Schizosaccharomyces pombe: one gene and its partner. The protein of the gene in region 2 binds, or shares a complex with, the protein of the main gene of each other region. Each region holds a gene or a part of one and is shown on either strand. Other genes may lie near its edges. The genes, in order: mis19 and mis18.

Region 1 (3,050 bases), on a different chromosome or scaffold from region 2:
TTGCATATTATGTGTACTTTGATCGAGAGGAGGCCAGAAGGCACCCTAAATTTTTAAAAAATCAGGAGCATCTGGAATTGATGGTTGCTTTAAAAAATCTACCCGGTATGGCTATTCTGACAGCTCCTTGGTTTCTTGCTGAAATTCGTGGATATGGTTATGTTTATGATAAGCTTGATGAATATGGTTACTTTTATCTTTTCTTTTCCATCGCGCTTTTCCTTCTATTTTCTGATTTTTTGATTTACTGGATTCACCGCGCTTTGCATCATCGTTGGCTTTACGCTCCTTTGCATAAGCTTCATCACAAATGGATTGTTCCAACTCCTTACTCTTCTCACGCTTTTCATTATCTTGATGGATACAGTCAATCCCTTCCATATCATATGTTTCCCTTTTTCTTTCCCTTAAATAAGTATGTTTACTTATTGCTTTTTGGATCAGTAAATTATTGGACCGTACTCATCCACGACGGCAAATACTTTTCTAACAACGCTGTCGTAAATGGTGCTGCTCATCACGCTGCTCACCATATGTACTTTAATTACAATTATGGTCAGTTTTTCACCTTGTTTGATCGTCTTTGCAGTTCATATCGTCAACCAGACCAAGAATTATTTGACGCCGAACTTCGCAATGAGAAATTGCAAGAGCAGCGCATTCGCTTTATGGAGACAGTTCAATACACCGTTGAGGGTAAAGATGATCGCACTTATGCCAGCAAGAAGGATAACTAATTCACTTTAAGATTTATTATTTGATACACTCCCCTCTCTTTTGTTTTATGTTCTAGCTTGTCTTTTGAGAGAGAAGCTGAAATAAAACCGCTTTTGATTTGATTTATATAGAATTATTATTTTTGGTATTTTTTCACCGTGTTGTTAAAGCTACTCATATCGATTTTTTTTGCTAAAATGGAAAATATTGCTGAATTATGACTTTAATTCATGTAAACGTGAATTTGGGTTGAAAAGAAGTTATGAACGCTTACAGTTTTGTTTTTGATAGAAAATTAACGCTTTAAAAATATGCGTAACATGTAGTGATTGAGTCTTTTCTGTAGTAAGTTGTGTATAAAGTTCAGTAAAGTTCACATTGGGTAAGTTACTAATGCATCAAAATTATCGTATAAAAGGTACTAATCACATTTTTACTGCTCTAACATTTCTTCTTAGAAATACTCGATTATGTAAATCAAGTTTTTTACCTTGTGCCCTGATTAAGCTTTTTGACCGAAGAGAATGAAGATTTATTGGATGATTATGGTTGTCTTTCACCCCAAATTCGCGAAATCGCAGTACAAGTAGCTCTGTTTCGTACACTCTTGGTTTCTGATTTTCCGTTGGTATAAATCTCCGTCTTTCCAGTCGTTTCAATATGGCGTCAAATTGCTGCAAATTGTCCGGAATTTTTGTATTATGAAACACATTATCAAATGCAATCTCAATTGCTCTTGCTTTTTCTAACGGCATTAAATCCATTTGCTTAACATTTTAATAAAATATCACAGACGGAGAAACTTTCGAAAATTAGGTAGTCCGTTAATATACGAAAGAAAGAATAACTAATTATTGTCGTTTATTAAAGATACTTTAACTAATACTCCTTTTGGAAGAGTAAAACGCGTACTAGTGTATTTCCTACCCTTGAGTATGAGCATGCCATACACATGTGAAGAGTACAAGAAAGTAATATTCTCTTATAATTTCATAATGTAATATATATTATCATAAAGGATTTATATATCTAAAGTCAATAATTTGATATAATTAGTTGCTTTTCTCAAACAAATCATGTTATTTAATGAATTTACTAATAATCTTTTTTAATTGAAGTCCATTAGTTTAATTAGTTGATTTCGGTTTTGGACTCAAACAAATAGGCTCAATGAACTCTGTAATTGCAAATGCTACGTAGACCACCTACAAGAAAGAAAAAAAAAAAATATATATATATATTACAGAAAGCCTCAACTTACTAAGCAGTTAACTCTTGTATTTGAGACGTTTAATTTATACTCTTCTTGTAGAGCGAAGACTAATTTTTCCGTTTACGGTTTTGATTCTCGGGATTAGCGAATTCGAGGTATTTTAGTATATTTATGAACAAAAATGATACACCTGCCGCAGGGGAGTTTTACACAAGGACTAATAGTTGGACAATTGTTGACACTGGCCATTATTTATGTGTTTTTGCGGTTCTTTTTATTTTGTAGTCCAATTCCAAAGTCTGTAGCAAACTCTCCAAAACAAACGGGGAATGAAACACCTGACGAGACTCCTTCAACTCCTTTAAGTAATAACAAAAAAAGGTACAAAAAGCCTCTTACTATCCTTGAACCTCATATACTCAATCTGCTTTACGATGTTAATGAACATGAGCCGGAATCATTGGATTGGTTTAATGTACTAATAGCACAAGCTCTCATACAGTTTCGCTATGATGCATGTTCCAACGATGTTGCCCTGAGAAAACTTGAAACTGTTCTCAACAAAGGTGCTCAAGACAAGTCTATGGTTGATCATATTTACGTGCGAGATTTATCGCTTGGAGACGGATTTCCGGTTTTCAGTCATTGTCGGGTTCTACCTCATCAGCATAATTCCTCACAGCTTCGAGCGGAGATGCTTGTTTCTCTGACTGACAATATTAATTGCACCGTTGACACAAAGCTTTTACTTAATTTTCCAAAGCCTGCGTTTGCAACCTTACCATTGTCCATTACAGTTAGGATTTGTAAATTTGTCGGAAAGGTAAGTCTATTTACAACCTTAATAGTATATAGTCTCTACGATTCTTTACACCCCTCCCCCGGGGGTTTGAAACATCAAGTGTTAAATCGTATCACAGTGGTATTCTACGATAGACTATTTTTTTTCGTCTTTTAATAACGGTCTTTTCTAACATTTGTCCTAGATTATGATTTATTTTTCCCCAAGCAATGGTGCAGGCCAGCCTGCATATATGAACTTGTCATTTGACCCCAATTTCGTGATCTCGCTACAAGTAAGTTCTCTTGTGGGAGCTAGGTCAAAGCTTCAAGACATTCC
Region 2 (3,714 bases):
TTTGAAAAGTTTGCTTCAGCGGCAGATATAACGGTCAGACCCCAAAATGCCTGATCGTCATTTCCCTCAGATGTTGTATAATTCGAAGGCATATAATCTGAATCCTCTCCAGATTGGTACAACATGCTGGTCTTTACCAACTCGTTATATGTACTATTACCAGTGGCAATGTATCTATTTAAAAGTCCCTAAAGCCATTGTTGTTAATAAATTATACTTTTAAGCTCAACGTACATTCCAAGCAGCCCCGGCTTCCCACCAGTAGGCTGGAGGAAGGAACATCCCGATAGTTCCTCCTTTGTGCTGACCAGCATAATAATTCAATAATCCATCAGCTACTAAAGAAGTGGCTAAGTCAACGGAGGACGTGTCATTCAAATCCACCGAAATGGCTTCAGCGAAGGAAAACAAAATAGTTGCAAGTGAAATAAAGATTGTAAGACTCATTGAAAAAGAAGGATTAAATAGAGTAGTATCTTTGAAGATTCCCATATGTATCCAGATGACTGTCGCCCTTCATATGATTCAATGATGACTCATTAATGACTGATAGAAATAATCTAAACAGTAAACAACGAACGACCAAAGGTAGGGAAAAAATATAACTTAACGCAATCTATCTTCTATAAAATTCTTAAGCCTTTCAATGAAAATACTCTCACATTTATTCGTGAGACCGACAGCCCCATGCATATCACAATGAGCAAGAAGGAAAACCTTAGAAAAAATACATCAAAAAGGTATTATTTAAATTGTGTCTTTTTGTTTTAACCGCAATTTTAACTGTTTGAATATAACAGTTTGTACATGGTATCCCAGTACTTTCTAGCGGTGGACTTATTTCCTCGTTCGTTTAGAGTATGTTCTTGCCTTTTCTTTTTTACCTTCCTTTCCCTCAATTTTCGGTTTTTTTAAACTGGATATTGTCTCCTTAACTGAGCGTAAAGTTTCATCGTGAAGTTCGAACTTTTCATATAGAGAGAGACAAAAGGACTTCAACTACAAATAAAATTAGTAATTTATTCTTCTTAAAGTTTATTTTTCTCTACTATATAAAGAATCACTGTACATGCCTTTATAATGTCCTCTCTCATTTCTAAATCAACTTGATACCGTGTAAGGCCTTCAGGATTTACGGTCTTATTACCTAGTTGGTAGCTTCACTGGGGTTAGTAACTAAGATGAAATCATGAACTTACGCTTGTAATTTGTCCATTGAAAAAGTATACATATCTCTACATGATTTTGTTAAAATTTGGTCAACCAAGTACGACTAGACATACCTAATATCATCAAGATATATAGGTGTAGAATTATACACCTTCCCAATCACTTCATTGCATCTAGTACAACTCAACTCTGAATAGACGCTATAATTTTTGTATTAGTAAACTGGCGAGCAACACATGCAACATACCAAAGACCATCATCACTCCTTTTAAACGTATCCTCAACGCGTACACTATTTTCTACTGCATCTAAATGAAATAATTAATTACATGGACATTTCTTTTACCACATACCACTCAAAGTGAAACTAAGATATTCTCGATGAGAAATAACCCAAGCATTAGAATCACCAACTATTTGAAAACATTTTTTACATTGGAAGACGCTAGGTTGTGACTCTTTTTTAAAATCAATATAGCCCGAATGACTAGTTTCCGTCTGGGACATACTTATGGAAAGTTCATTTTATCTAGTAGTAGTCGTTATTAATTAGGTGCGCTTAACATTCTATATATGGTGAACCAATATATATCAGATGTAGAAGCAAAAATTAAATATATTACAAAATTATAAAAAAATAAATTACTCATAGTCCTTTAACTGTTTTCGGAAGAAGGAATAAAGACGCCTTCCTGCTTCGGGGCCAATTAGTTCTGACCATTTTCTTTCTGAGGTTTCGGAAGCTTCTTGAATATCTTTCACGCCTCCATAAAACACATTTCTGTAGTTTTTCATAGTTATGTATGGGAGTCCCATTAGCAGGTCGAGTGGAGCTTGATTATAAGTATTCGTTGAGTCTTGCCCAGCTTCCAAACCTATAGAGGCAGCTGAAGCAGGATCTGGTTCTTGTTCCATGGCTTTCAAATCTTGAAAAATAATTGATGTAACGTAGGCACTAGAAGACCAAACAATCCTTAAGTTGGGAAACGATAATGTTAACAGTACCAGTTTAGATTGAACATCATTTTTTCCAATTTCGCTTGAAAGGTCGGAGAAAGGCTAAAAGCTGTCAGACATAGATTGTTTTAGTCAGACTTACTGGAGATGTAAAAGATTGGTGTTGTTCGAATTCAATTAACAAAACTGGAATTTCATAATATTCAGTCATAGCTTCACATTGGGAATAAAGACGGCCATTGCTTAATGATTGGATCAAATCTCTAATTGACTTCCTTTCAACACAGATCTTTGGTGATAATATATAATCTCCCACTAAGAGTTGGCAAGGGATAACAGAAAAATTATTTCCATGTAATATGGAAGGTAACGAACTACGGAATTCCCTCAAGTCAACGATAACCTTTAACGTTTTAATACATATAAACATAAGATATAATGAACGTACCCTAGGTTTCTCATTTGTGATCGATAACTGTCCTCCTCCAGCTATACGAGTATTGACATTTCTTAAAAACTTTGACTCTTGGCTTTCGAACCTTTCGGAATCAGCCGTCAGTACGATAGCCATATTCTTTTTAGATTAGCAAGTTTTGAAAAGTTTAGAATAACTTACAGATCGTTCTTTAATAAGACGAGAGAATGAATCTTTCTCTCTCCTTACAGAAAAAAGATATTTTTGCTCCTCAATCGATCCTCCATAGTACATAAAATAAACCCTTAGAGATCTTTTGGGATATGTAGCTTTGTAAACCTCGACTCTTCGAATAAAATTGGGATCAGAATCGAACATAATAACGTACCGAGGTCTTAAATTATTTAATACTAACTCATCTCTTTCACCATTGTAGGAATAGATATAGATGGAATTGAAATCATCAATAACTTCAAATGCATCATTGCCCACTTCAGGTTCATAACGTTTGGATAAGTGTGAGAGCAGACTAGACTTATTAGCGTGTAAAACCTAATAATTAGCGTACATTTTCTCTAGGCGTAAATCCCTACTAAAAGAATCATTCGCATCTGTATTATCAGAAGTTGTGCGTGAAGTGGCATTGTTTCCACCTCTTACCCTTCTTCTCTTTGAAGGTGGAACACCTTTTCTAGACGTTGTATTAGAAGCCTCTCGCTCCTTGGAAGGCTCTGGTTTCTTGATTGATTTACTCATCTTTCTATATTGTTCTCTCCATTGAAAATAGTCCACTAATTTGCTATTCATATTTTTCAAAGAGTCTTTATTGTCGTAAGTCACCGTACTCAAATAATCACGTAACTGTAAACAAGTACGCTCATCTGCGCACATAATCATTATCGAATTATTGGATGTTTCTGAAAGATTTGTTAATATTTCTTCCTTTAAAGAGAGTTTTTTTTATACCTGCATCTGTATCTGCTAACATTGTTTCATGACACACTTCGTTTAATACGTCTTGCAAGACAGACCATTTCGGCTGTTCCTCCAAAATGGGAATCGCATCCATATTCGGTCCTTCTGATTCTTTGTATACTCGGTCTCTAGCGACACGGATCATTTTATTGGCGGCATCCAACATAAGCCAAGGAGAAGGTTGTGCATTAGATGGG

The links.
Region 1: mis18 (region 2) and mis19 share a complex: the UniProt entries of both Schizosaccharomyces pombe proteins name them as parts of the CENP-A recruiting complex.

What each region holds. Positions count from the first base shown.
Region 1 is NC_003423.3:1,322,162-1,325,211, reverse strand, and holds mis19 (protein Mis19), read right to left. Parts: upstream 1,482-3,050; coding exon 1,143-1,481; 3' UTR 838-1,142; downstream 1-837. Other genes in the region: C-5 sterol desaturase Erg32, read left to right, coding at 1-737; ERMES complex subunit Mmm1, read left to right, coding at 2,112-2,753, 2,917-3,050. UniProt on the Schizosaccharomyces pombe protein: Component of the CENP-A recruiting complex that ensures the integrity of mitotic spindles through maintenance of kinetochore factors mis6/CENP-I and cnp1/CENP-A.
Region 2 is NC_003421.2:513,094-516,807, forward strand, and holds mis18 (kinetochore protein Mis18), read right to left. Parts: upstream 1,715-3,714; 5' UTR 1,678-1,714; coding exon 1,524-1,677; exon of another isoform or gene 1,479-1,523; coding exon 1,418-1,478; exon of another isoform or gene 1,371-1,417; coding exon 1,284-1,370; exon of another isoform or gene 1,236-1,283; coding exon 1,200-1,235; exon of another isoform or gene 1,159-1,199; coding exon 1,074-1,158; exon of another isoform or gene 1,018-1,073; intron 1,000-1,017; coding exon 838-999; downstream 1-837. Other genes in the region: dcw1 (mannan endo-1,6-alpha-mannosidase), read right to left, coding at 1-188, 235-447; rad16 (DNA repair endonuclease XPF), read right to left, coding at 1,813-2,229, 2,270-2,530, 2,576-2,701, 2,744-3,071, 3,111-3,459, 3,509-3,714. UniProt on the Schizosaccharomyces pombe protein: Component of the CENP-A recruiting complex that ensures the integrity of mitotic spindles through maintenance of kinetochore factors mis6/CENP-I and cnp1/CENP-A. Maintains the deacetylated state of histones specifically in the central core of the centromeres.